Schizosaccharomyces pombe: one gene and its partners. The protein of the gene in region 4 purifies or fractionates together with the protein of the main gene of each other region. This does not show direct contact. Each region holds a gene or a part of one and is shown on either strand. Other genes may lie near its edges.

The links.
Region 1: the proteins of bmc1 (region 4) and lsm2 purify together in Schizosaccharomyces pombe (affinity purification with mass spectrometry, with the first as the bait; one study listed by BioGRID). This does not show direct contact.
Region 2: the proteins of bmc1 (region 4) and lsm7 purify together in Schizosaccharomyces pombe (affinity purification with mass spectrometry, with the first as the bait; one study listed by BioGRID). This does not show direct contact.
Region 3: the proteins of bmc1 (region 4) and lsm8 purify together in Schizosaccharomyces pombe (affinity purification with mass spectrometry, with the first as the bait; one study listed by BioGRID). This does not show direct contact.

What each region holds. Positions count from the first base shown.
Region 1 is NC_003421.2:2,140,714-2,148,440, reverse strand, and holds lsm2 (U6 snRNP-associated core protein), read left to right. Parts: upstream 1-3,455; 5' UTR 3,456-3,516; coding exon 3,517-3,576; intron 3,577-3,629; coding exon 3,630-3,731; intron 3,732-4,083; coding exon 4,084-4,186; intron 4,187-4,244; coding exon 4,245-4,270; 3' UTR 4,271-4,492; downstream 4,493-7,727. Other genes in the region: wtf meiotic drive antidote Wtf23, read right to left, coding at 1,183-1,289, 1,340-1,402, 1,443-1,634, 1,671-1,949, 1,999-2,328, 2,545-2,680; putative signal recognition particle subunit Sec65, read left to right, coding at 5,110-5,332, 5,386-5,762; U5 snRNP-associated protein Prp18, read right to left, coding at 6,175-6,249, 6,295-7,251; sap18 (SAP128 family histone deacetylase complex subunit), read left to right, coding at 7,267-7,430, 7,598-7,727. UniProt on the Schizosaccharomyces pombe protein: Component of LSm protein complexes, which are involved in RNA processing and may function in a chaperone-like manner. Component of the cytoplasmic LSM1-LSM7 complex which is involved in mRNA degradation by activating the decapping step.
Region 2 is NC_003421.2:1,812,172-1,819,424, reverse strand, and holds lsm7 (U6 snRNP-associated protein Lsm7), read right to left. Parts: upstream 1,060-7,253; 5' UTR 1,002-1,059; coding exon 952-1,001; exon of another isoform or gene 898-951; coding exon 606-897; 3' UTR 501-605; downstream 1-500. Other genes in the region: nucleoporin Nup60, read left to right, coding at 1-308; dsc5 (UBA/UAS domain-containing protein), read right to left, coding at 1,853-3,028, 3,216-3,323; SPRY domain membrane protein, specificity factor required for ubiquitination Ear1, read left to right, coding at 3,942-5,090; dual-specifity cAMP/cGMP phosphodiesterase Cgs2, read left to right, coding at 6,794-6,883, 6,945-6,953, 7,000-7,253. UniProt on the Schizosaccharomyces pombe protein: Component of LSm protein complexes, which are involved in RNA processing and may function in a chaperone-like manner. Component of the cytoplasmic LSM1-LSM7 complex which is involved in mRNA degradation by activating the decapping step.
Region 3 is NC_003421.2:2,274,206-2,281,219, reverse strand, and holds lsm8 (U6 snRNP-associated protein Lsm8), read right to left. Parts: upstream 3,343-7,014; 5' UTR 3,319-3,342; coding exon 3,294-3,318; intron 3,240-3,293; coding exon 3,071-3,239; intron 3,008-3,070; coding exon 2,917-3,007; downstream 1-2,916. Other genes in the region: exosome subunit Csl4, read right to left, coding at 1,342-1,887; ubiquinone biosynthesis protein Coq11, read left to right, coding at 6,022-6,852. UniProt on the Schizosaccharomyces pombe protein: Component of the nuclear LSM2-LSM8 complex, which is involved in spliceosome assembly. The LSM2-LSM8 complex plays a role in the biogenesis of the spliceosomal U4/U6-U5 tri-snRNP complex by accelerating prp24-mediated annealing of U4/U6 di-snRNA.
Region 4 is NC_003423.3:2,959,833-2,967,959, reverse strand, and holds bmc1 (Bin3 family regulator), read right to left. Parts: upstream 3,858-8,127; 5' UTR 3,734-3,857; coding exon 3,125-3,733; exon of another isoform or gene 3,083-3,124; coding exon 2,885-3,082; 3' UTR 2,744-2,884; downstream 1-2,743. Other genes in the region: origin recognition complex subunit Orc6, read right to left, coding at 1-365, 424-605; iss9 (nuclear export factor), read left to right, coding at 1,438-2,085, 2,136-2,265, 2,334-2,743; plp2 (phosducin family protein), read right to left, coding at 4,285-4,633, 4,697-5,023, 5,068-5,093; SNARE protein Sec22, read left to right, coding at 5,308-5,341, 5,551-5,695, 5,761-5,924, 5,988-6,292; SPOM_SPBC2A9.14 (uncharacterized protein), read left to right, coding at 7,050-7,150, 7,258-7,357; SPOM_SPBC2A9.13 (uncharacterized protein), read right to left, coding at 7,231-7,340, 7,435-7,471; hpz1 (zf-PARP type zinc finger protein Hpz1, implicated in DNA repair), read left to right, coding at 7,911-7,941, 8,033-8,081.

The DNA of each region.
Region 1 (7,727 bases), on a different chromosome or scaffold from region 4:
CTAATTATATATCGTACCATGTATGATACGATATGGAGATTGATCTTAATGATAATCTATTAAGATCAATATTATCTGAATACTATAAATAGAGCTACTGCTGAACCTCGTTCCTCAGTTCAGTTATGAGCTATATTAGTGATAGGTAACATTATAACCCAGTTAATACAATACCTATACTCAGTTGCTACTTATACAACCTGTGTATTGTAATATAATAGATCACAAGGAAAACTCACCGCAGTTCTACGTATCCTTAAATCAGATACCAAACTGCGTAGCTTACATACCGATGCGTAGAACTGCGGTGAGTTTCTCTTGCGATCAACAATATTGTGGTATGCAATATGATAAATTAAACAATGTGATATTTATTGTTATAAAAAGTTTATTAGTATCGGTCGCCGATATAGCTAGTAACTGAACCGGGGGAACGAGGCTCGGTTGTATATCTATTTTTTAAAATCCCTCTAATATCTTTTATCAACGTGTATATATGTATAAGGTGTATAAATGACTGCACTTACTAATAAACTAATTTTAAGTATATTCTAACATATGACATATAGTGCTACGCAACGCAGTATATCGTAGCGTAGTAAAGTCTGACACGCTACTATAACATTTCATCTCTTCAAACATTATATTATTATGCTATTCATTATTTTGTAAACATTAATTTTGTTTGAATTGAACCATTAAACAAAAAGAAAAATGATAATTAAGCTTGATTCATTAAGAATCAAGATGAAGGAGAAATGAATGCAATAAACGACAATGAATTTGTAAATTTAACAAGGCGGAACAACGAGTTTTTCGATTTCATTAGTTGATTTTAAGTTGTCGTAAACAATTTAAACCATTATTGTTTGTGACTTGAGTTCCATTAGAAAAGACACATAATTAGACTCGCATATAATAAATAAGAGATTCGAATCTCAATGCATATTATCCAGATTATCCAACATCGCGAACCATTTCAAGCGATGCATTAGTTTGACAATTTTTGGTAACTGGAAGAATGAGTTAAGCATATTTTCCATAAACTTATAGTGAAAGATGATGATTAAAGAATGTTGGTGCTTATGTTTTAAAACGCCGCAGCTTCTCTGCGTTGGTGATTTTCGTAAAGAGGTTTTCCAGCTGTAGAGACTTTCGAAAGCACAACTTTAATAATGCAATTTAAACTTCGCCTTCGACATCCATTTCCCCCAAGGGAATGTTATTATTATTATCGTTGCCACCTCTAAACGCATTTGCTAGCCCCATCATCGCATTTCCTATCCCTCCTAGTCGGGTAAGTAAAAAATCATTCATACAGTTGGTTGAATACACATACCTAAAATAAAAGCTATACCATTCCTGATAGAGTTTCGTGTTCTTATGAGTGCACCTGGACATTCTGGCATGGTTAGAGTAAACTTCAAGAATATTTAACGAACCCATTTCGCAAAGAAAAAGAACATTGCCCATAATAAATAGCACAGAGGCTTCAATTTCACAACCTGTCCATTCAAAATGTTTACCACGTAAAAACATCGTACCGTTTAGTACCAACACGATACCACTTTGTAACAAAAACACTTTTGCCAACTTAGCTAACGTACGCTCGAATGTCCAAAATGGAATACAAACTGTTTGTCAGCGTTTAGCATTGTAACTTCACTTACCAGATGATACAATTAAAAGTAAAACAGCCGAAATAGTGCATGTGGAATAGATGAGAGCCTTATTTAAGTTCAGATCGCCAGATTTGACGCAACCAAAGAGTATACAACAAATGATTAACCAGAGTAACCAAATTATAATCATCATTTCTCTTCTTATGTTGAAAAGGCCAATAGAGATCACCTTTACACATTGTGCCAAGAAAACTACAGTCACCTTTATACATTGTGCCAAGAAAATTACAGTTACTTTGACTGCCTTGATCCAAGTTTCATAGAAGTCTAATGAGTTAGTGACTGAAGGTAAGAATTGACCTATCGTGTCACTTACACCATAAAGAAATAAAAATCATTAGGCAAATAGCACACCACACTCCAAAATATACCCATTCATCTTTGCCATAATCTTTAAAGAGAGCGTCCTTATACGTTAGATAACAAACTGCGGGTACGTTTAGCACAAAGATTGAAATGAATGATAAAAATGCTTTTTTCAACGGAGAGGTAGAAGAATTATCTGCCGTCCCGGAAGAATGGTTTTCTCTATGTGTAATAGAAAGACTGTCTTCACCATAATCCGGAGGAGTCGTAGACTCGTCCGTATTAAATAAGTTAGGGTTGTTAGCTCCCATTTGTTTGGGATCCTTTAAATTTATATTTTCTATATTGTTAGCAAAATTCAATGGTAACTTTAGAATATTTTTTAATGGGAAAGGAAAAAAGAGCGTGCCCTGTTAGACGAATTTATACTCGTAATATGTCAAGTTGTAAACAAACAAACACAACAAAAACATTGTAAATCAAAACAAACAGACACAGCAAATAATCCTTGACACACTCAATTCTTTATCTTATCTACCAACAACACAACACTTACCTGAATATGGAGGCAATGTGCTCCCATCTTCTGAATTGTATTCTGGGAGAGGACCTTTTTCCAAATCAATTTCATTATCGTTTTTTGCACTCAATTCATCCATAGACGACCTCAAGGGGTAATATTTATTCTTCATTTTCTAACGACAGTCTATTATTTAATGATATACACACAAATAGTTCAATTGTTGTGATTGCGACAAACGAAACAGCAAAATCAAGAATATTCACTCTGTAGTCCAATTCCAATCGCTTTAAAGACTTTTTAACAAAATAATAAAATTGTTCAAACAAATTTCCAACTAATTCCTTCAAACAATGGCATAAAAAAAGAAGAACGAAAAAACTGAACGAGGCAGTGAATTGCTTCTGACACATTTATTTTGTCACTGCCCTTTTTATTCACCCCAACTTAGATTTCCTTAAAACGTTTTTGAGAAGCAAAACGTTGTAGTATAATATAATGTCAGCTACGCAATTTGGTATCTGCTTTAACGATTACATAGAACTGCGGTAATTTTTCCTTTGTGACCTATGATATTACAATACACAGGTACTATAAGTAGCAACTGAGTTTAGGTATTGTACTATCAAGTTGTATTGTTATCTATTGCAAATACAACTTATAATTGTGTAAGGAATGAGGTTTAGCAGTAACTCTATTTACGTTGTTTAGATGATTTGGATTTTAATAGATTATTGTTAAAATTAATATCAACATCGTATCATCTGCGGTGCGATATGTAAATGGAACATGTGAACATATAGTGACACTCAACGTACTGTATCATAACTAATCTCGGTGACAGCCTTAATATGATTTTTTGATTTCGTAAATCCTCGCAAAAAAATGTACGAGCTCCAACACAATACCGTGTAAATGGGCTTTGCCTGTACATGACACATTCTTCTGTTCGCTGCATCTTTCTTACTTCATCCAAAAGCGTGTAAAACGAGTCTTCTCCCGATTATAATGTTGTTTTACTCATTTTTTAAGACATTAATAGACACGGAAGTTACCGTGGAATTGAAGGTATGCCCCTACTTGGCTTTTTTGATCGCGTTATGAGGTTAACCAAACTATAGAATGATATGAGTATCCGAGGAATTTTGAAATCTGTTGACCAGTTTTTAAACGTTAAGCTTGAAAATATTTCTGTGGTCGATGCGTCGAAATATCCTCATATGGTATGCTTTGCAAGTTATCGGGAATTGAAAGAGAAATAAATGATTTCTACGATCGGTAGGGTTCGGTTTATTCATTTTATTTAGGTTTTTGATTGATTTTTGAAAAAAGTCTTGTCCAAATCGATTATGTACAACATCTTACATGAGAGGAACATGAATCAATCAGCTTTCCCAACGTATATGCTACATTCTCAACTTTTAAAATCTAGGTTTTTCATTAATTGAACAATTTAAGACTGATCATAAAGTGCGCCTCACTTTCTGAATTCTTCGATCTATCCTTTTTTTTTCGTTCCTACTCTTAACACTATCTCGTGCTATTATTCCAGAGTTATAACTAATAATTTATTAGGCTGCTGTTAAAGATTTGTTTATTCGTGGTAGCGTTGTTCGTTACGTCCATATGTCAAGTGCATATGTTGATACTATTTTATTAGCTGATGCTTGTCGTAGAGGTAAGCCATGATTTGTTAAACACTGAAATTTTAGCCTTATTAACTCACTGGTTTTTAGACTTGGCTAATAATAAGCGTCAATAATTCCTTTGAAAATTTCCTTTTTTTGGTCAATATATTCGGAAACCGTGAACTAATTGCTTATTTAATCGTAGTTCGGTTATTCATCATGTGTCCCATTGCGATTTTTTTCATGCCCGCAAAAGGAATATACATGTGTATATACATCATTTTATTAAGGACCATTGTTGTTTGAAGGTATTTTCCTCCCCTTTCATTCATCCATATTCTTACTACCTTTTCGCTTTTCTTTTAAATCCAGCTTCCCTATTATGCCTGAAACCGATCCCTTAAAATTACCGTTTTATTATCTTCAAAAAAAAAAATTAAGTAGAAAATTGTTGGCGTTTACATGATTTTTGTGTACGGCTTCTTCCATTAATATAGTTGATGAGACTTTGTCAATTATCATAAAATACATACATCGTTACATATCGGTTTATTGCTGCGAGAGGGAATTTTTAGCACTCATGCATCATTAGCAACAGAGCGTTTGTATTACTTTAAAAGATATCCACTCAGATTTGTGTTTTACAAGTCTAATTCTTCTTCCAATTTATTTTACTGATTTCATTTGTAGGATTCAACCGATCTCACCTTTAAGCCAATCAGGCACACTCTCTTTCATCGTTTTTTTAATATATTTTGTATTCTTTTAAGATCTTCCCAGTGAATGATACGATTTTACTTTTTTAGTGTTCTTAGTTTTATTCTAAGTTAATCATGAAAAACGTCTTCTTTTTAAAAATAATTGAAATGTTCAGTAGTAAGTTGAAAGTAAAATCGTATTTATCTACTACATACGGTTGAGCAGCATAAGTATGATATCGCATTTGCTGCCAACTACCTCACTCACCATCCACATGCCATCTATCATATTATATCCCATTTACTTTGACAAGAGCCGTCCACGTAGGTTTCGTTGTGTACCAAAAGACAAAGCAATTTTAAATCCGTTAGCTAAAAATATTGCCGATGTTGTTCGCGATTTGGGATATAAATGTAAATTGGAACCATTGAAGACACATCCTGCAGATTGGGTCAATCCAGGTCGAGTCGAAATGGTATTACCTGAAAAAATACAAAGTAAGATTGTTATTAGTTTTATTTTCTCGTATGCTAACTGACTGTGAATGTAGAAAAGTATGTCATAAACGAAATCGCCAAAGTACTACTTCTTCGCCCAACTGTTAAGACAGATCCTTTATCGTTACCTATTCAAAATGTTCCCGCACGTCTTCCTGAAAATCCTCCTGCATATCCTAAGGGGGTTTTAGGAAATACGATTTTACCTCTTCATTCACCTGCTTTATCTGGCGGTGGTATCTCTGAAAATATGTTCCAGGAAATGATGCAGGAAATGCAAAAGCAACCTGGATTAGCTGGAGGTATGAATCCAATGGCTGCACTTGCTGGTATGGGAGGCCCTGCTCCTCCTATGCCAACTCCCCAAGCATCTTCAAGCCAGCGAAAACAAAAGTCAATTGAACCAGAATATGATTTGGATTTGGAGTAAACTTATTGTTTAAAACTGAAATATTAGGAATATAGGTGCTTTCGACTATTAGCAAACGCTCATGGATATTAGTAAATTTTTTTTCTCGTCATCTTTTAACAAAAAATTTTTTCCTAATAATGAGTATGGATGTAGAGTTTCATTAAAGATGAGTTCATTTGCACAGCACATTCTGCTTTTTTAAGACTGAGTTCTGGTGGCATACTTAATATTTTTCTGTCTTTTATAAATGTTTCGCCTCTCGTTATATCAGAAGCTGTTTCATTGTAGTTTCTTTCATGCCAATTCAGAGGCGAAATTTTTGAATATTCTATCATTAGTAAACCATGTTTGACATAGTCGTTTTCAAAAGTTTAGTGTGAACTGTATAATTAAATTCTTTTTCGACAACAAATAGCATCTTTTTCGTACTTCAATCCGTATATTCAGGTAAGTTTGATGACTCTCTTTCCTGAAAAGTAATAAATCGCTTTAAAGCTTGCAAACACTAACATGTGAAAGGTTAGACTGGGTACTTTATCTAAAATCTTACCTTTCTCTTCTTTTCGTCTTTAAGTATATTTGAACTTGGATTTGCTTGTAATCGTTGATGTGCACTTCTTTCATGAATACCAACCATAGTAACTCCAATAGGCCAAGGTGCATTTCCAATTGTCAGACGTAAATACATATCATTGGCTTTGACAAATTCGTGTTTTTGGCATCTGTAACAAATTTCAGCTATGCTTTTAAAAATATCGTCGTTTAAAGCTTCATCGACTATCAGTTGTATAAGTACATCAAGATCTTGCTTAGCTTGACGAAATATTTTTAATTGCATCTGACTCTCAGAACTTTCGAAAGAGTTGATGGATTTTGAAGACAAAAAGTTGTCCCAAATGCGGATTCCATGTTGAAGAAAAGCAACTACTTGCTTGGATACTTTGGGTTTGGTGGTAGTAGCATGCTCAAAGTCGATTGTTTCAACTCCTTTAGTAAGGAGTTCATTTTCAATTTCTTCCAGTTTTTTGTATTTTAGCAAACTGTAATATCGTTGAATGGTAGCCTCTTCTGACTCTCCAAACAAACGAATTGGCTCTTTCATCTCACGAAGCTTTGCAATAATTTCGGTCAACGTGAGGTTGTCTTTTGTGATTTCAGGTATTGATAAACGGTCGTTTTCGGAGACAGATAATTTTGTACTTGCAGGTGACGCTTTGACAGCTGGTGAGGGAGTTGTTGTTTCTGTAAGCAACTCTTCATTTCTACTGCTCTCTTTGTTCGCAAGTCGTGAAATGCGTAACTTCTTTTCTTCATATTTAAGACGTTCTTCTTCCAACTTTCTTTTTTTCAACTCTCTTTGCTCATCCTTTTGTTGTTTTTCCTGCAGATATTTCTTTTCCCTTTCCTTCTCCCAATCCCCTCGTCGAAACGCCTTTTTTACCGGAAGTTCGCTCGTTCCTTCTAGTTGGCGACGTTTACGTTCAATTTCTTCCTTTAAAAAATCCATTTGGGAGGTTTAGAAATGGATATTCGTGAAAGTCGCTCTCAATCTCCTGAATTAAGCCAAAGTGAAGATGCTGTTGGTCCGTGCCCTTTTCTCATTTCAGTATATCATCAGTTCCAAACAAAAAATCATGTTTTAGACATCTTTGAAGACGTGATTCCTTCTATTCAAGTTTATGGATGGTAAGTAAATCGTGTTAACGGGAAAATTTCAGTTGTTGTATATGAACTCATACTTCATTGGGACTACGATTAGAAAATCCGTCAAAGGATCATCCATGAACAATTTATATGTCAATTAGATTTATATGTTTCAAATCTTAAACTTTTATGCTAACGATTAATCTTAGGTTGACCATGACCCTTTATGAACTGGGAGTTCTCATTGCAGATCAACTTCTTTTGAATAACGAAGAAACAAGACATTCTGAATGGTCATTGCAAATTAGAACAATTTTTTACGATAAGTATAAAGATCGC
Region 2 (7,253 bases), on a different chromosome or scaffold from region 4:
AGATGACGAACGTTGCTATTGATCAACGGAGTTTTGAGCAAGCTGAGAAAAGCCCTATCTCAGTATCGGAATCGACTTCGCTAGTTGAAGTCGAGAAACCCTCTGCTGAGGGCACGAATGAACATAAGCAAGATGCCACTATGACGCTCGAAAAAACTGACAAACAAGGTTCCCTAGAAGAGGAACCTTTTCCCAAGTTTTCGTTCACGGTTTTGCCAAAAGAGAATGGGGAGAATCTCTCTACAATGGAAAGCACCCAGGAATTACCTAAATTCTCATTTTCAGTTTTGAAGGAAGAAAAGAACTAAACTTTTTGGCATTAATATACTTTTATTCAATGGCATATATCTATTTAGACTAGATAAATTATATAGCAATGTGATAACAAGCTAACTGGGAATAAACATGGATTAAATAATTTAAACATATGCGTAGAGAAAATCATCTTAATAATCGAATTTATTCTTTTAAACACATATTGCTTTTACACTTTTCCGAATTGGGTCTTTGAACCTTCAAAGCAAAACATGCACATGCGGTATAATAATTAACTTGTAGTATTTTATTAACAATAGTCAAACATCAAATGAAGGGCTTGTGGCTTTTTATTCAGCTTGGACGAATGGATTCGGTATCTCCTCAGAACCATCCATGGGAGCAATCAAAACTAAAGTTGTTCCACGAACGACTACAAGACCTAACTTTCTAATAGCTCCAGTAAGTTTACCATCCTCAGGATTGCGAAGCTGTTCCTCTACATCGTCAAGTACAAGGTTCATCAACTGATCGAATCCTTTTAGAATACCGGTAATTTGTCGGCCCCCCGTAAACGTGGCTTGAATTCGTTGATCTTGATATCTAGAAAGATCAAGGATAGATTCTTTTCTTGGTCTTTCACTATTTAAGAAAGTTAGCAAAACTCATGATGCTGCTCGTTCCTGCTAGACTTACGTCGGTTGACTAGAGTTACCTGGGCCAGGGCGTTTTTGAAGACTGGACATTCTTTGTATCTAGAATAACCAGGTAAATTATCAGCTATTGCCCAGAAAAGAATAAAGTACAGGTTCAACTTGACGATTCTCCTTTTTACGATGATTGTAACGTGATCGAACGTATCCTTATATGGTTCAATTTGAATGACTTAAGACATAGCAGTAAATGGAATATAAAACACGCTACAGAAAGGAATGTAAAATAAACTTGCTCAGTCTGAAAGGAAATAATTTCACCGCTTTACTTTTCCAATTTTGTTAGAAACGTTGAGAAATTCCATGCTTGGGGTCATAATGCTTGACATAAAGTGAATCTAATGCACTAATTTGTATATTAATTATATAAAAATTTAACATTAATGAAAGTTTAAAGGTAAAATTTAAGCTGTTTAGAAACAAAGCCACTAGACTTTTTCGAATTGCAATAAAGAAAGATTTATATTTTAAACAAATTTATGTTCATAATACATACCTCACTCATCACAGACGAAAGCTGGCAAAACTTTTATGCTACAAAGCCTAAATTACTAGCCTTTGTCCTCCATTGCAAAGAAAATCGTAGAAAACAGAGATGAAGATGACATGCATAGAAAAGGTTTTTGGCAAAGAACAGAAAATCTAGTGGAAATCGACTATGTACTCAGATTAAAGGGTGCATTGAAAGTTTGCTCAAAATAAAAAGTCAATGCGTCCAGTAGACATTCATGCCATAAACAACAATTAATTCAGTAGTAGAAATAGAAAAGAGAAAATAAATTCATCATACATCAAATCTTAGAAATGTATTTAAAAACGGATTCGAAACGTCGATAGTCGTAAATTGTCATTATGATTTAAAAAGACAAACAATTTTGTTAATTTCAATCATCCAGCTCCACCACCACAGTGCCATTTGGAAAGATGGCTTTGTTAGTAGAAATAGCCACTGATGGTTTCAGCAAAGCTCTGGGCAAAGAAGAATATAGTTGAAAATGAAAATCATGCTTATAGTCACTTGGTGGAGTGACCGGATTAGAAGATGAAGTAGCGCGACCGAATTCTTCAGGCTCCTCTTTTTCAAAAAGCATATAATCCACATAGTTGTAAACGGATTCAACAGTATCATCCTTCTTAAACCTTCGAACAGCCCGAGATCCGTCGGGAAAACGGATCGAAAGACGAGCAGGTTCATCTTCAGATGATGGCTCCGGTGGAAGATTAGAAGCAAGCCAAGCACGATATTGTTTTTTCTTTTTCTGAACGATTTCTCTTTCTTCTTTCTCCTTTGCAAGACGCTCTTCTTCTGCTCTCGCGAAAGCTTGACGCTCGCGATCGCGGGCAAGGGACGCTTGATAGGCATTGTCTTGTTGACGTCGTAACTCGCGAGCAGCTTCTCGTGCTTCTCTCTCCGAACGGAAACGCTCAAGAGAAGGAAGATGTTTAGCCAAAGCATTAGTTAGATTGGTAATGATGCTGGAACTATCAAGACATCCATGGAGTTGGGCGGCAACTACAAGCTCAGATAGCTGAGGTGAATACATAACAAGGACTGCGGAGGGAAATTTAGTGCAGTGGAATTGACGAGAACCTCGGAAAGCCTCATCCTCACAAACATCACCAGTCCAGCAAAGAATGTTTCGACGATTTAAAAATTCCTTTAGCTCTTGGTTCATAAGAACACTCCTGGAAAACGTCTCAGAGTCATCATTCTTTGAGCTAGTAAAGAAAAGCAATGCGACTCCATAATTACGCTTAATACGTGTCAACGCTTCCATGTAGCCGCCATCAGTAAAAAAATCAATATGCTCAGTACCGTATTGCTCTTCTAAATTCTGAACCAGCTTGTTCGCAGTGTCTGCAGGAGAAAGGACACGCTTAGTAGTACCAAAAATGGGGATAAATGTTGAAATCAGAGGAACCCTTGACAAAATCATCCATAGTTTGTGCAACCCACTGAATAGCAAAGAAAAAACAGATTGAAAGACGCCGAAACTTAATCCAAGCTTTGAATTTCTATCGACTCTTGACGATTCTCCAGTTAAACTCTCGATCGCTTCCTAATCATAAAACAGTTAGCAAAATGGCTCAGTCCCAACATTCACCGAAAATTCGATTAGAAAAATAAACGACAACCAGAGGATTCCATGAATGTTCAGTTGCAAATAACAACTTTCTTGGAATTTTTCAATCAAAGCAATTGATCACTATCGAATACTGAAAATGAATGCTTGCCGTGTCACATACCTGAACGTCCCAATTAAATGATTCCAAAACAGATTGAGCAGTATCAGCAGGAACATCAAGAGAGTTCCTTAATTCGTCTATTGCTTCTTGTTTTCGAGACCCTGACATGGTAGGTGTTGTTGGTTAATGGACGGAGTAGTATCCATGTGGCCTTTACGTGGTGCTTCGTAACCTTCCTTTTCCCATTACCATCTGAAATCCGGAAGCAAACATTGAACGAATCAAAGTAAATTTTCGAATAAAAATTTGGTTAATTCCAATCTATGGTTGTAAAAACAGAAAACTTATAAGCATAATTGTGACGGAGCAGTATTATCTGGTAAATTGCCGCTGATTTTCGATTTTACCTTACAACAGGCCATTGTGGCTCCTTCAGGAATAAATTCTTTTTTATCTTAAGAATTATATCTTATTTATTTAAAGGAGTTTGTATTTTCTCCTGTAAACTTGAAACAAGTATACCATTTCGCCCAATCCTTGAGCATTCGCAAAAACCATATTAGTGCAATATTTGAGATACTTGCATCTACGTTAGATTTAAATATTGTATCTCGTGCTTAATAAACTGCATATCTGAGAGAAAAATCCTTTTTCTCTTAACCCTATACTATATCCTCTTATAGCTAGGATTTTACTCTCAGTTATTTATTTCTCTATTAAATATACACTCGCAGATTTTCCTTTTTCAAATCTTATATAAAAAATTATTTTTTGCGTCTTTGAGTCATGCATCCCGATCAGATTCGCCAGTTGAGATTACAGGAATCTTCAAACACCCATCCTAATTTAGCAATCCTTTTCATATTTATTGCATTAGCCGCTGTCATTGTTCTTTTAATCTGTCTTTTGTCAGTCATCTTATTACTGCGATACACACGACATGGACGGATCTTGCTGAAAAACACCAATCCTGGTGAGTTGGACGACGAAGCGTTAGAGAATGAACATATTGATGAAGAAGGATTTAGTTTATTGGATGATATGGGGAAAGAACGGTATTTACAAGCTCGTGAGTTTGAGTTGAATTCCATGAAATCTAACGTCAACACGGATGCAAAGCTGCTTGACTTCCTACAAGTTCAAGAGAAGGGCGTATTAGCATGGCACTTTATCCCAAATCAGGAATATAATTGCTATGTTAAAAATAAAACTGAATTGTCTTTTTTGGGCAACGAAGAATGTTGCATGCAAACCAATTTGCCTTTGCAGAGGATCAATGAAGTATACTATTTTGAAGTAAAACTTTTAGACGTACCTATTGATACCTTGGTTTCCATCGGTCTGGCTACCAAGCCATATCCGCCGTTTCGATTGCCTGGTTGGAATTTTTGGTCTACTGCTTATGTGTCGGATGGAACACGCCGCAGTAATTCACCATTTACGGGAAAACCGTACTCCTCTTTCTACCAGCAGGGAGATGTAATTGGTGTTGGTTACAAACCGAAGTGCAATCGGATCTTCTTTACACGTAACGGTCGTCGGTGTGCAGAACTGCCGTGTACATATCGAAATTTGTATCCTACGGTTGGTGCAATTGGACCTTGTACCTTACATGTCAATCTTGGACAAGCAGGATATGTATTTATTGAAGCAAACATCAAGAAATGGAGACTCGCTCCTGCGGTTGGAAGCTTGGCTCCTCCTCCGTCGTATTCTACATCGCAGCCAACTATTAGTTGGGATGCAGCTAGTGAGTCTTCAGCGGGTACAACAACGCAGGGCGATACAAATAGACCCGACAAATCGAAAAATAGGTCACCTCCAATAAATTTTGATGGTACCTCGTATGATGCGGCTGGTAATGTTTTCAGTCCATCATCATCCAACAATCAAGCTTATCAAATGCACTCCATGCCTGCTACCGATGAAGTATAAGGAGTAATGTATAGCTTAGCACTAACAACCTTCACGCCAAAACCAAAGATCAAGTTGTGGAAATGTTTGTGCGTTGTGTTTCAAGTTAGTCCTAAAATCGAGAAATGCACTTTGTATATGAATTGAAGGGGATGTGTTGATGTTCAATGTATTTATTTTCTTTATAATAATTTCTTCAAAATTAGTTATAATTATTAATCTTAATTAAATTTACTCTATGTTTATTCGCTCAATTAATAAAAGGTTATTCACAATTTATTATGATTTTTCGTATAATGTTGCTATTGAGTCTATACTGTTAACATCAACCTTCATCGAATTCCGCTGGTGAGAAGTTTTAACGGAGGAATTCATAGGGTTGTCAATCCTGATAATGAAAGTGTAAAAGGAAATTTTCGAAAGCGCTTTTTTACATTTCTAATTTTGCGTAGTGTCATAAAATGCAATTCCTGGTAAAAACAAAGCCGCTTAATTATTAGTCTTGTTATCTTTTGCTGTAATAAAAGGAAATCTACCTTTTTATTCCAAAGGAACAAATAAAGCAATTCGATACTGCAGTGTGACATTCTTTGTGAGTAAAAAAAAAAGGGAGTAAAACAGAGAACGTATTCAAGTAATATTCTGAGAATTGTTTCTATTTCAAACTTTTATAGCAAGTTTCCAATATGCCTTTAGGTATAGACTTAATTGAAAAAAGACCGATCATTATCAAAGGGAAAATTGGGATATATTGCTAATTAAAATATCTACCTAAAGGCTGCTATGCACCTATGATGATTTCTCTCCATAGACCAACAAAAAGTTCAATGGAAAGCAATTTCAGCGGCACATACAAAAGATTCTTCAAATAGGTAATTTAGGAATGTTTCTTTTGATTATCTTGCATAAAGGAAAAGGAGATCATATTTTGAAAGCTCTTACAACGATTACCACCCTCCCTAACTGATGCAAACTGGTTCTCAGCAGCACTGACTGGAACTATCTAAGTACTCTATGAAAAAGTAAGAGTTAGTTTAGCATAATCAGATAAAATGACTGGGACTTACGAATCCTCAAAGTCCGATAAAGAACCAAGTTCATACGGAAATCTATATTACACGAGGTTCAGTTTTTTGTATGTATAATGAATTATTATTTTAAAAAACATATTAGTGTCCGATAGTTTACAATTGTTTGCTAGTCGGTCTCTTAAAGAGAAGGGCATAAACTTCTGCCGACATTGTTAAACAAGCAACAAAACTTCCCCTCAGAAATGTTAAACGATAAAAAAAGGAAACCTCTGGAATTATATAAAAAATAGCTCTCTCTCTTCTCGTTACGTGACATTCTTTAAGGGTGTATATTGAACCTTCGGAAAAATTGCTCTCATAAGGAAGTGATACATGTCAAACGTGTTTCATCAAAGTCGCATTTTTTTTCTTAATATCTTACTTAAAGCAGCAAAGCATAACTTCGTTCCTCTCCACTTAACGACTTCCATCCTTTTATTTATTCATAGCATACTTCTTCACCAAGCGGGCACATGAATAAGGATAATTAACACACTACACTATACCCCGAGTTTCTCCACATTTCGAGCATCGTTTATCGTACCCTAAATCTACGGTAGTAAATGTATGCTTGTAATAAATATGACGTCAACCGACATGTTTTTGTAGACTAGTGCATGCACCGGAGATCTGTAACTCTCCATAAGCCTAGCCATGCATGCAGCACTCGAAATCAAAGAAGCTGAATTTCAAACCGATCAAGTAGTAGGACTCGTAGAAAATTCTTTTACATTATATTCATTGGTATGAAAAACGAAAAATATTTTTTTTTTTGAAGAATTTCGACTAACGTTAACGAAAACAGGGACAAAATGTAAGAATTCAAACATTATGCATTGAGAGCCATGCTGACTTATTAGGGGGGTCCATTGGAGTCTTGCTGTAGCAGTCATTTGATTTCTGATGGCGCATTTCAAGAAATTATATCGCTGGATGGTGGAAGCCACCTATCGGCGTTGGTTGAGTTGATCCAGTCAAAACACCTGTCCGTCGATTCTTGGTCTTCCATCACCAAGTATGACAATTATACGGTGGAAAATGAATCATACGCAAAAGCCTGGCACCTTTCAGAGCAAAGGATTAAAACGTTTCTCATCACACACTGTCATTTAGA
Region 3 (7,014 bases), on a different chromosome or scaffold from region 4:
TAGATATAAAACCATTGCGCTCTTGCATTCCAGTGAAGACAGCGTATTAGAAGACAATCTCAGCCCATCATACAGTTACTGACAAAACGATCCGGAATTATAAGCTTCTCGAACAAATTATCTAAGATGGAATGAGCGACTCCAGATGTACTTTTTTCGGTAAATTTTCGTCATAAAGAGATGTATTTGTAACCAACTTTTATAGAAATCCTAAGCTTAAGATTGAAGAATAATCTGATAAGATAGTCATCTGATATAGTTAAACATCGACTATTTGAGGTAATAAGTATGCTAATGAAAGATGTTTTTGTCGAACTGATTATTGAAACCTATTATCATATGGAAAATAAAACCTTTCAATCCCTTTTTATGGAACTAGCCCAGAATCCATTAAAGTCAGTGTACCTGCGAATTGGATTTAGAATCCTCTATTTGATGTCATGGTAATGGAATATTTTGCAATTATAAGTATTTACAAACAAATATTAGGGATGAAGAGATTAAATTTGATAGTCTCACGCTGGAGTAGCTTAATGAGTCATGACAGCTATATACGGAAAAGACGGGTAGAATAGAAGCTCTCGTGCTTATATGAGAATCTGGAAACAGTTGTCTACTAATTAATTGATATAAAATATATCAGTCTAATGGCCGAAAGTAAAGATTGAGATGATACTTGATGTTTAGAGACAACCTAGTATTTTATAAAACTGTGTATAAAAAGTACATCCAATCCCTTAATGTAAAAACTGAAAGTAGTTTTGAAAAGTTACTGAGAGGTGTACGAATACTAATTTTCATGTCATTAAATACTTCATCCTTAAATCTGTGATCATAAATGTTATTTCAGGATATCACAGCCTCCAATGAAAGGTGCAATCCTCGATATTAAATTACACAAAATAACTTAATACAGTAACCTTCTTAGAAAGTTGTAAACATAACACATATTATTGCTAGAAACTCCTTATTCATGTTTTTGTTAATGAATTAGAGTTTATAAACAACCGACCAATTCAGTTCCATTAAGTAAATAACTTTAAGAAACTTCAGAGCTCCTGTCCGTTCAGTTGAATTACAAAGGTTCTCTATATCTTATAAAACTATACATTTGACTTCTAATTGAAAATGATATCGGTTTCGACAGCAAGTCACCTCAATCATCATTCTAATGAACTTCCAATATTTCTATATTCAATATTATTTTTATCCGTGTTCCGTATATTCGTATCATAAAATCTCTAACAATTTCAGAATTTTTTTTTTGTTAGGAAAGAACGAACCGAGAGGGAAAAAAAACTATCAGGTTATATCAAAACAAAGCAATTTTATCCCCTCATTTTATTCGTCTAATATAGGTTTAGCACATTTACGCATTTCCGTATATCCTGATTTTGTTTGCATATGCTGATAATCCACCGGAAACATTTGCTCTCCTGTTTCACTAGACTGAGCAAAAATCACACCAAGATCATTTCGAGCTGTTGTTAAAAAGTACGAAGAGCCGTCTCCAAGTGAAATTACAAGTGCTCTGACAATATCACCCGGTCGGAATGAATTTTGCACTTTGACTTTATTTTTCTCAGTAGCTCTAATATCCTGCACATGTATTACCCCTTGAAATTCATCTTTGGTGCAGACATCGTCAACGACTGAGATGTTTACAGTTGCTTGACGAGCATTGATCCTGCTGACGCGAGCTAAAACAATAGATCCGACATTAGGTAAAACGGCTGTCTCTTCAACTTTTCTTGGGTACGTTACAGAATTTTTCTCTGGATCAAAGATGCCAGTTCGTGTGGAAATAATATAATCTCCTCTCTTTACCGTTCCTTCACCGTTAGGAGCCCCTCTCGCGACCACCTGTCCAGGGAGAACCAAATTCATATTTAACGGCTTTAATAAACTAAAAATAAAGGAATCAAGTCCGTTTTGTATGGCTGTAAAAAATTAATTGAAAAAAAGTTGCTGTAAGCACAAAGGTCGTTGTAAACTGTAGGTTACAATGTAACCTAAAGTCACTGCTGCAGAAATTTCAGTTTATTTTGCTAAATTGAGAAAATGAAATTGCAAAGGCATTTAATTATCAAACAGTTTTTCTGCTCTTCTTTCAACAAAAATTTTTTCTTGATAATCCCAAAGCTTGGAAAGTAAGTTCACAAAACGATGCCAAAATAAAAAATCACTAAAAAAAAAATATGAGCAGCAAATATAATAAATCATTTTTTTTGTTTAACTCAAATGATCTTTGTAAATTGGACCATGATGCTGAAATATTTCTCAAGGTAGAGAAATTTTCCAGTGTAAACATTAAGCGTGACAGCAAAAATGAAGAATGTTATGCACAGTAAATGATATAAATTGTGATGTTTTTTTCCATATAATAACAAAAATCAATGATAAATATAAAGTCTTTAAACAAGTTGACCACAAATTTCAAAATCAAAGTGCATAAATCAAATTAAGGAAACAAAGGTATGTTAACGTTCCCAAGAATCATTTAAGAAAGATGAAACCCACAAAATAAGAAGAAAAATGAGTTTGTGATCCACAAATTTAACAAGAAACCAAGAATTTTTTAAATTCTGAAAGAACCGATGTCCTCGAACTCGGTATTTTAAACCATTTTTTTAAGTATTTTCGTTCAAGTGTCAACTCTTTGTCATCAGAATTAATCTACAACCTCAGTCATATTTTTTTAAAAAAATAAAGAAAGAATTTTCACTTCTTTCTACGAGCTAATAGCTTCCTGATAAAAGACATGCTGCAAGGTATGAATATATCGTGGAAAGCTTAACAAAATTTGCAAAGGATTCGCCCGCACAAAGAGGAAATATAACAAAAAAATCATTAACCCAAATCCTATGTAGCCTTAAACGTTTGTTCTCATTTGAAGTTTAACGTCCGGTTTTTGTATTAATGCACAACGTCAGGTATTGCTTCACCTCGAATTTTGGTCCATTCTATTTCTGAATCTAATTCCTCATTCACTAATCCAACCATTGCTCTAAAAATAACTATTAGATTATTGATTTACGTACCGCCAGTACAAGGCTCTGCGTCCACTTACACATTTTCTCCACGTAATAAATAAACGCCTAAAGGAATTGTTTCCATGTCTTGATCCATGCTAATAATTCTTTCAAATGAGTCTGAAAGTATAAGATTGGTCGTGTGATCGAATCCCTTCAGGGAACCTAGCACAACGCGACCATCGTTTGTAATGACTTGAACCCTTTCTAACGAACATCTATATTAGTCACTTCATTCTCTATTGAAAATTTGACACTTACGTTCCATAAAATCAGCAAGACTCATGATAAAGTGATTTAAGTATTAGTTGTATTACAGTATGGTAGTGCTAAACAAAAGTAGGTAGTCTTACAGCATGTATTTCAAGTGACATGATACTTTTTATAAAACATACAGCAAAAACAAAAAAATCAAGAATTTTAATAAACTAATCAAATTGAAAACACCTTTTTGTCTTAAAATTTTGAAGCTAACTTTGCTATCAATATAAGAAGTAACCCAATTATATTTTTAGTTTGGAAAGGAACACAATCTTGTGTCAAAAGAAAATTAAAGTAATTTGTGAAGCGCACGATTTTTAAATGATCTTTTGTTTTATTAATCAACGAAATTTATTTTGTAAAATAGATCTATTAAAGGAAAAGGTATTGAACATTATTCCAGCTATATCCGGCTCACGAATCCTTCCTCATCATTACAAGCAACCGTTCTTCTAACTAAAAATACCCGTTGTAAACAAATATACAAATCTTATGGACGTGGGGAATATAGATGTATATATTTGACTACAGTTATATTCTTGAATTACTTCATTTGATAGTTGTTGAGTTTAAATCATTGAAGGATAATTCTTCTTTTGAAGGTTTGCTTAAATAATTTGGAAGAAATAAGTATTTAAGAATTCCGTTTTATAAGAATTTTTTCACAACTTTAGATTGTTATCGATGTGCCTTACTATCTTAGTTTTTGAATGAAAAATTAATGACGGCTCGAATATAAAGGGGACGGTCTTCGCTCTTTATTCAGCAAAGAACGTATGGAATAGAAAGAATTTGTACTAAATGTGTCACCATAAGTGCGAAGCTTTAGGGTTTTTACATTATAAGACAAGTTAGATTTTTGTTTTAAAGGTGGCATTTAGAATATAGACAGATGAAGTTAAAGGGCGCAGCTCGTTTTCCTTGGCACTTTTTTACACTCATCTCAGTACTTGTATTATCTTCTCAAAGCAGCTTGGTAGTACAATTTTCTTGGATATTATCCCTATCTGATAAAATAAAGTTTCGCTAATAATTAAGCGAAGACTTACAACTTTGACGAAGCAGCACACAGAACTAAACCAGTAGATCATAGTGACTATAAAAGCAAATCTACTTAAAGAGGCTGAGAAATTGCCATCGTGAGTTTATTTATTTTCAGCTATATTCTTCAATGTAAATTTAAGTATTTATTGAGAAAAATTTAAGAAAGTTAAGTTGTTCGTTATAACGTACAGCAGCTACGAAAGGATATTTATACTACTGTCTCGCAAATAAACATTCTAGCAACTCATTAACATCATAACTTGTGTTGGAATAGTAGACAACTATGATGAATAAAATAAAATAAAAAGGGCAAGTTAGAAATCAGAAATTTATGCTTAATGTTTCATTTGGATTTTCGTTATTTCCAATGTATTCTGAATATACTCATACTTAAACACATATTGTTATATGTTATATTTGTTACATCAGGGGGATCGATATATCATATACTCCACAGTATAGCTAATTTATTTGTAACCCTTTTTGAAGAAATATTTATTTGGTATTGAGAATTAAATTAAATTTAAAGATTTACTATATCATAGCCTATTTACTCAATCTGTTCAAATGTTGCTTTCGCAAACATATTTTTATCAGTCACAATATAATGAAATACACATTTGATTTAAAACAATTTCAAAAAAAAAAAAAGGATGTTGATTAGAATGAAAGAAAAAAAATAAGATTTATATATTTTCAAAACAAAAAAGGTGTAGATATCAATAATAAGAAGACTTAAAATTCTAATAGATCTCGTAACGATCAGTTATTTTAAATTTATAAAATTAAACCACAGTGTATTGTTTTAGAATATATGAATTTAATACTTTCGCTCAACGATTTCTTGATCGATCAACTAAATATGTAATAATATTAATTAAAAAAAAATAAAAAAAATTTGAGATTTTTTCTTTCCTCTTGCTATGAATCACGAAATTTTCTGTATGAACAGAATAGCAATCAACTGGCTTCTCAGACACTTCATAAAACTCGAAATTGTGTCTTCAGGGTTATCGGAATAAATATTATGATTCATAAGCTCTATTGTTAGCTTAAAATTGAATTTGTTATTAATCTAACATATTTGTAAATGGGTTTATGAAGTATTTGAATTTGAGATCTTATTATTACGAATTTAAAATCCAAAGATAATTAAGAAATTAATCAATGGCTTATAAAGTATAGAAAATTAAAGACTAAATTATCAAAGCATTTTTATTTTTAATTTTTTTTAGCGCTCTCATTTAAGACAAACTTTTACTAATACTCCAATTATGAATGATGGTTATTTTGCATACTTATTAAATGATGTACATATTTTTATAAATTAATAAGTCTAATAGAAGATAATTAATTACCTCTTTCCATCTCTTGGTCTTCCTTATTGAGCTAGCACATTACCTCATTCTCTTCAACTACGATTTACTAACTACTCAGGTTGAAAGGGTTTTTTGAACATTGTTCGTAAAAGGAAATTTTAAAAATATTTTGAGACAGCATTTTTGTGTTTCTCAATTATTAAGATTAATAATAAGCATCACGAAACTTTGAGGTGTTAGCTTACATTAACAATTCTGGGGTTCTAATCCTTATAATAATTTGGGCTGGCCTATATCAAATTGTCTAATTTGAAGATTTAAATTCTTTAAATAATTTTATTTTTACTTTCTCCCTCGTTTTAAGTATGAAAATTGTTGTTTTAGGTGGTTCAGGCTTTTTAGGGCATAATATTTGCAAATTAGCCATTGCTAAGGGTTACGAGGTGGTTTCAGTATCCCGAAGAGGAGCTGGAGGATTGCATAACAAAGAACCATGGATGGATGATGTTGAATGGGAGACGTTGGATGCTCAAAAAGATCCAAATTCATTACTTCCTGTTCTTCGTGATGCCTCGGCAGTGGTGAACAGTGTTGGTATCCTTATGGAAAATAACTATAAAAAGATTTTACAGAATCCCAGAGGACCAGTTTCGCATTTAATCAATAGTCTTAGCTCTAACATGTTTAAAACTGGCCAAAACCCTTTAGCACCTAAACCTGAAGAAGCAAAGCAATCTAAAAATAAAGTTACATTTGAAGCAATCAATCGAGATTTAGCTATTGAAACAGCTAAGATTGCCGCCAAAGCTAATGTCCCTGTGTATTGCTATGTGTCTGCTCATGCAGCGGCTCCCGGGTTGGATCCCCGCTACATAAAAACGAAACGTGAAGCTGAAAGGGAAATATCTAAAATTTCAAACCTTCGTTCTATATTTCTCCGTCCTGGTTTTATGTATAACTTTAATGATCGTCCTTTCACAGGCGCCCTTGCGTCTCTTTTTACTGTCTCATCCAGCATCAATCGAGCAACCTCTGGTGCTTTAAATTTCCTCGGAACCGCTTCGGCTGAACCCCTTCCTTCTGAGGAAGTTGCTTTGGCTGCTTTGGAGGCTATTTCTGATCCCAGTGTCAAGGGTCCTGTGGAAATTTCCGAATTAAAATCTATGGCTCATAAGTTTAAGCAAAAATCTCTATGATTCTCTTGTTAAAAGTAAATTACACATCATAAGTTTATGAAAATGAATGATTGGGTTATGTGTAATGAATTTTGACCAGTCTTAATTATATCTACCTGAATACGTCTTTATACTTTCAAGTTAAAATATGATTGCTAAACAAAGAGAAAAAGTATCGTCTAA
Region 4 (8,127 bases):
AACTTGTATCCTGTAAAACACTCTGTGCCTTTCTTCTCTCGGTGTGATTTATATGAAGTTCGTCTTTTCCAAAAGCTTTTGCCGATACTAGTAAATAAGCTGCGATTATGATGCCTCTTTTGTGTTCGATGCGCATGTCGTTTGTAACAACGGCTTTCACCAATTGTTTAACATAAGGTATAGCAGTTGAGCCCCCTAGTTTGGTACAAAGATAAGTAATGGTTTCCATCAGATCATCTTTAGCTGCTAAGGATTTAGTTAATGGAGATAAGATTTCTTGAAAGTAAGTGAAAAGTTTATAGTATTTCTTTTTTGGAATTGGAGTCGCTAGTAAATTTATTTCCAAATTTAAATCATTGGATAATCTTTTTAAAGAGTCAGAACAAGTTCAAGTAGAGTAATTAAACATCAGAAGTTACTTACAGTTCACAAGCTAAGTGCGCTGCCATATAAGGACGGCATAACTCTTCTGTCGCCTTTAGATTATGTTTATATTTGGACCATTCCAAAAATGACTCTCCTAAACTAATAAGCCGTTCATTATATTCTGTACTTTCAGTGGGAATTATTCTGCGTAAAGACTCTATAATCTGTTGTCGCTCCATGAGAAAATGAATATATTTAATAAAACTTTTATCATTTAATTTTGATTATTAATTATTGAAATCATGTAATCATTCATAATATCATAATAGTGGTGAACGCTTAGTTTGTTTTATGTCAATATGGTGTTTAATACAGAGACATTTAAACGATGTTTTTAATGCTGCTAATACTACCAGCTGTTTCAAAAATATAAAATCTATCTACTTGATGCACCACTGAATTTGGTGTTTATATTCCGTACTTATTTAATATGACTCTTGCTTAATCATTCCGGTTGCTAGTTATCTTAAATAATGTCACCAAAAGCTTAGAATTTAGACCTACATTCTTCAAGATATTACTACAAAACTTTCGAAGCAGTCTTCAAATTTTTTTTTATTTAATAATGAATTACGATTGCTTTATTGGGAGGTAGTGTTTTAGGCTTGATAATTCGGTATATTACTCTCTTTTAGTAGTTTAATCAAGGCTATATGAGGCATACAGAATAAAATATGCGTGAATAGCGTGAGTTAATATTAACTACTTTCCATGTTGGTTTCATAAATTTTAAGCGAACAAACAAGTTTAGGTGGAACCGTTGAATTATTTGATGACTTTTTAAATTTTTAAAGGAAAAAATGATGAACGATCAACTGAATAGTAATAAATTAATCCTTATTGATTGAAAGGTTGGATAATGAAATCGACTTACAACGTTACTGACAGGGTTAAGCTGACGGACTCGCACTTCTCATACAATCTCGGTACTCACCACTTTAGCAATTGAGGAAGTTGAGAAAAGTACTTAACTTTAGCATTAATCATATAGCTCAATGAAAAATATTAAATATGAAAAAAGAACATCATAGCCCTTGGCCGGACTCTTTGAAAGAATTTATTGGTAGATGCATCCAAGACGCTGAGGAAAACAGCCAGCCAGAATTAGAGGATGAAGTAAAATTGCTAATTTCTCGTCAATACGAAATGGGAAACATATGGAATGTTGATTGGTCTTCTATGAATTTAGAATCCCTAAGGAAACTGACAAATGCTCAAAATACAATCATCGAAGATAAAAAAAGAAAGGTTGAGAAGCCTGTTTCTGGAAATCAATTTTCACTTTTAAGTGAAGAAGATGAAGTGGATAAGAAAGAAAAAAGAAGAAGAAGGTTTGAAAATGGTTCTCGTTCTCAAAATAACGCTAAATCTGAAGAGCTAAAAGTCAACCCGGAGAATGGTGCTATTATAGGACGGTCCACAGAATTAGAGAAAAGGTATTTGCGATTAACTTCGGCTCCTGATCCGGATACTGTTCGACCCCTTCCAGTTCTTAAGCAAACTCTCGAACTTTTAAAGAAGAAATGGAAAGAAGAGAAAAACTATGCATATATATGCGATCAATTTAAAAGTTTAAGACAGGATTTAACTGTGCAAAGGATTCAAAATGAGTTTTCTGTATTAGTTTACGAAATACATGCTCGTATAGCTCTTGAAAAGGTACGGTTAATTACTTTAAAATATCATTTCTTCTTCTAACGTTCGACTAGGGTGATGTTGGCGAGTATAACCAATGTCAAACTCAATTATTTCATCTTTACAGTTTTGGTATACCAGGGAATACTAAGGAATTTTTAGCATATCGTATTCTGTATATGCTCTTCACTAAAAATCGATCTGGTAAGTTAATTACGGCTTACTGCTTAAAAGAATATATCTTTTGAATTCAAATTATTAACAATTTATAGAAATGAATAGCCTTCTCGCCAATCTAAAAGAAGAAGACAAAACAAACGCTGCTGTTACACATGCATTAGAAGTCCGTTCGGCGATGGCTACTGGCGATTACTATAAATTTTTCCATCTATATTTAGTCGCTCCCAACATGGGAGGTTATTTGATGGATCTTTTTATTGAGAGAGAACGAGTGCAGGCGATGATAATGATGTGCAAAGCATATCGCCCTTCTCTTACAATGGAATTTTTGGCTAACACACTAGCATTTGAAGAAATGGAAGATTGTGTAAACTTTTTTAGGAGTTGTAATGCTGTATACGATTCAAAAGATCCCAATCGCATACTGATGAAAGAAAGCACGGATAGATTCGAAAAATGCATGAAAAAGCATGCTGTGGTTGATATTAAAGGCCAAATCTAATAATAAAACTACTTCATTCCGCTTTTCTTTCTTTCCTCATATGTTGAATTAGAGAATTTAATAAAAAATGAGACACGTCCTTTTGGGACATTATGCTTTATAGTTCCAGTCATTGTCTATTCTTAACGTTTTACTAGACAATTAAGTAGAAGTTAATAGTTTTATGATTCCAATTCCTTTTTTTTTATAGATATACATTGTTCGTTTGGCAAAATTCTTGTACTCAGAGTTATTTACTTGAGGTTCGATACTGTATTCAAGCACTAGTCCTGCTTGATTAAGCAAATGTTCAAACGCATCAGGTTGGATTTTGAGGTTCTCAGGTGTTTGATTAAAAACCTAGAAAAGTAAGAGTTAGAAGTATTGATAGTCGTGACTTACAGATATTTTTTTTGCAGCTTTCAAGTACGAGTCCCATCCTTGAGGTTCTAAAATAAGAACACCATTCGTTTCCAATAAAGAACTAATCTTCCCAAAGAATTTAATGATTCCTTCATCGTGGTTATTTAGATGCACCCATTTAGATACGGATAATGCTAGTATTATTTTGAATTTTCGTTTCGATTCCCAGCGCAAGAAGTCAGCGGTCTCAAATTCTATATTGTGAGGGAAATTTTGCTTATTGAGAGGTGGTTGAAGTTGCACTGGTATCCTGGAAAACTTTTTAATGCTTGAAATGGGGTAATAATTAAACTGGTCTTCTACAATGGAACCAGGATTGCGTACAGGGCCAATTCGAGAGCTCACAAACTCAAGATGTTTTCGAGCTTTTTGGATGAGAACATGATCGATATCCAATCCCAAAACAAATGATGCACCAAATATTGAGGCAATTTGAGCAGACACTGTCCCATTATTGCATCCTATATCTAAAACTGAAGCCTCATAAAAAAGGGAATCAGGCAAACATTTAAGTCTTGGATCGATAATTGAGGTTCCTCCCCTCATGCTGTAATAACTGTGATAATTTCCATGTTGAAAATTCGACATCCCAAGTCGAGGAGGTTTTTCAAATCACCCCTATTTTTTATAAAAGTATAAATTTTGCAATGGAATTTAAACGAAAACTTACGAATCGAACTATTTAAACAAAAGCGAGAAGTTTCAATTTGTTGTTGTTACTAATACATTAACGATGTTTACATATCTTGAAACTCAACGTCCGACTCGTAAAAACTAGTCTTAAAGCATCCAACAATTTAGAAAGGATCGCTAGCGGTAAAAAAAATAATATCAAAAATATATATATATATATATTATCCTTTTAGCAATTCTTCGAAAGTTATTTTACTTTTGTATGTACCTCGATTTCAACGTCTTTTTGCAAACTTATCTTCGAAGGTGTTTTTCCCTTTATGACTAAAAATTTATTGCTTACGTAGACAGGTTAAGATAGTTTAAAAAATGTTTAGTATATGCAAAATATATTTCATTCTAATTACAAGAACGATTAGGTGGGCTTTTTCTTTGAACAAGATTCCTTCATGTAAAATAGCAAGATGAGAATAGTTTTACACTTTATAAGTCAATTCAATCTAAACTCAATCAAAATCATCATCCAAATCGTCATTAACGGAAGAATCTCGTTTACCTAACTCATCTTCTGCATTTTGTGGATCCTTCAAAGCTGCAATATCACTGTCCTTTAAGGCACCGGCTCTAACCAATGCTTCAGCTACATCAACTACACTAGTGTTCATTCCTCCTAAAGTAGCTAAGGTTAGAATTTGTTGTTGTAAGTCTCCATGACCGTATATCAAAAGAGTTGGCATCATCGCTTCAGGATAATTTTCGACTGCTTGTTTTCCGGGAATTTTTACAAATTTAATTTGGGGATACATTGGTGCTAGTCTCTCTAAGATAGCAGCTAATAATTTACAGGCCGGTAGTCTTGAATTGTAGTGTGTTAGTATTGACCCATTGAAAATGCAAACAAATGAAGAACAAACGTACGAGTCTTGGAACATATGCACAACGACAAACACTTCCTTGCTTGCATCTGTGACTTCAGCTGTATATTCTGGTTTCGAAATAGGATATACTGAGCCAAATTTTGCTTTTGACATTTGATCCTTCCACTCCTGCATCCGCTTGTTTCTGTACATTTGTAAAAACTCATCATCTTCTTCGTCCTCAAGCTCTGCTAACTCATCTAGATCCTTGTTTTCCAACCGATTCTCGTGGGCAAGCTGCTTTGCATCGACCAACGCATCGTCTAAAACATCATCCACATCAGGTTCTTTTTCGGGTAAAATTCCCTTCGAACGTAAAATATCATTCCTGATTTGTTAACTTCTATTGTTACAACTATTCATCCTCCATACCATTCGGTATCTTCGTCAGGATTCATTTGGATATATTCCTTTTATTAATCCCGTTGCAAAGTGATGTGTGTATTTACCTATTATAGGAACGATTAACTAAACATGTTGCTTCAGTATTGTAGTATAACGAAGCATACTTAAATACGGTATTATCGATATCGATGGTACCGTAGGTTCGTTTGACTAGGTTGTAAACGCTTTGGGTACGTTGAATGTATCCAAAGCACGCGATTGTACAATATGGTAAAATCTACCACAGTTACTAGACTTGATGGTATGTATACCTACAAAGTGGGATTAGTTAATTTTCTGTTGCTGAAACCATAAAGACTGGTCTTCGTTGAGTAAAATGAGAGTTGTATGTTAAAATTATTTCGTGATTGCCTCAATTCTCAATTCTCATTTTTGCTTTTTTTTGCTTTCTATTTAACTAATACCCGTTCAAATGAAAATTACTTATAAATACTAACTGATGAATTTAAGGTCTTCCGCTTGCCGCTAGCGTGGATGATGAATCAACAGAAAGAAATTTGGAAAGCCATAAGAAACAAGCCAAATTGATCCTTAAAAGACTAAGTCCTACATCGGAAAAAAGGGCTTCTATTGAGTCTGGTGATTATACATTTCAGTAAGTTTAATTGTGTATACGAATAGCAAACGGAATCTCAATTTTAGATCTAACCAAACGTCTAGTTATCTCATCGACAACGGAATATGTTATTTATGTATTTGCGAACAGTCGTATCCTCGAAAATTAGCGTTTTCGTATCTGGAAGAACTTGCAGGCGAGTTTTGGAATAGTTTCGGCGAAGAAGCATTACAACCTGGATTACGTCCTTATGCATTTGTTCAATTTGGTATGCCTTTATTTATTGACTTAACTTATTTTTTTTGCGATTGAAATAACTAACAATTTCTAGACACCTTTATGCAAAAATCAAAAAGAGTTTATAATACCCCGCGTGCCAATGATAACCTTGATAAACTCAACACTGAGCTGAAAGATGTAACCCGTGTCATGACCAAGAATATTGAAGATTTACTGTATCGAGGTGATTCCTTAGAAAAAATGGCGGATCTCAGTTCAGATTTGCGTTACTCTAGTGCCAAGTACAAAAAAGCGGCTCGTCGCGTTAACTTGGAAGCACTTTGGAGGCAGTACGGCCCTGTTTCGATTATTGCCCTTTTGTTTCTGATTTTTGTCTATTGGCGTTTTTTCGCTTGATTCACGATTCTATTTACGGACGTTTAAGTTTAGGAATAAGAAATCTTTAATGACCTTTTCTTCAATATTTACAAACCAGAAACGAAATTCAATAATGGATCCCATAATTAGACATAGAAACAAAAAGTTTGCCCATCATTTGTTTTGTTTATTGTAGTAATTATTTTACCTTATTCATCTTTGCTGACATTTGTGCAACCTGCTTTGATTCACATCTGCTCTATCTATCTTGAGTCTGTTTGAACATAGCTAAATATTGTATAAACATATATGTATAGTTGAAGTGTTTGTTTTCCATCCCTTGTGCATCCTTTCCCATAACTAAGCTGGTTTATCGAATCGCACCGCTATGCCGTGTAGAGGAGAGTGTCTGAATGGCTATGGAAATATTCTAATAAACCCTCCTTAGCTTTTTATTTTTATTACTGTTTTAATTATAGCTCTATAAACGAATAAAATCAAGGTGTTGTTACCGCTATACATTATTTTTTATATTATTTCAGCCACCATACCCCAGTTTTTAAGTTTGTTTTGACGTTGTAAGCCAGCACTCAACTATTATATATAATGAACGCCTTGCTTTTCATCAACTTCTAGCAGTAATTATTGTCTCTCTTTTAACGTCGTATTCTAATTAATTCCCATTGAATCCTCGTGTACATTTATTATTCTATTTGTTAATTACGATTTTCGTGAGCAACTCCTTTTTTTGTAATTGCACAATTATTGTTAATGAAAAAAATTGTGCTATAATATAATGACAGAAAACGAAACACTTCAAAAATCCTCATGGAAACGACATTTTACATCCACCTTTCCAAATCGGGTTAAGAAAATATTCAAAATAAAACACTCTTCGTAAGTACTTAGAATCAAATTTTATTACTTTTTCTTTTCTTCCTTTATTCCCTTTGTCTTATTAGTATGTATGTTGGACATTAAAAGTTGCTGACTCCTTTCTTTAGATCGATACCTATCGTTCGTGTACAACCGCCCACACCCAGGAATTCTGCTCTCTTTACTACAGCCGATTTCATCTCATATACAACTGTATACAAAGTTTAGCATGCCATACATTAACTGAAAGACCCGACATGTAAAAGACTTTCATTCTTCCTAAATAACGAAAATTCCTAACATACTTTGTAAATCACCAGCATTGTTTACAACAACTTGCATAATTCCTTAATACTGATTGGTAGGGTAATGGCTTAAACCCGGATGATTCTCGATATTCCACATTAACGACTTTAGGGATTCAATAAATTACTTTGGTAAATGAAATGCCTGTGTTCGTAATACGGCTTATTGTAAGAGTAGCTGACATGTATTTATTAAATACCAGAATCTTGTATACAATTGCCAATTACCTATTCGTCTTGCTGAAAAGTAGTATACAAGAGGCTGGTATTGTAAGGGGGTTGCTTTATCTTGTTATTTAGATTGCCGATTTAAGTGTCACGCTCATAGACTACTAAAGCACATGGTCACAGCTTTTGTTTTCTTTCAAAATTTGTAAGCTGTGTGTTTAGTGATTTATGCCTACTTAAATTAATAATCCAGCGTTATATTTTTTTGGATTTAAGTGTTTTTTTGGTGTTTTACTGCTTTTCAAATTATGGCTGAATCTGGCGCTGGTTATCGAGTAGGTATGTGTTAATATGACACGTATATTTACGAGCATTTCAATGGATTCGCTTTAATAATTTATACATTAAATCCAATTTCTAACGATTGCAGAACTTGCAAAAACTGGCAGAGCAGAATGCAAAGGAACGGTTTGCGGAAGGTATATATAGCTATTTACCAGAATTTATGTAGTTGTCCAAATCATT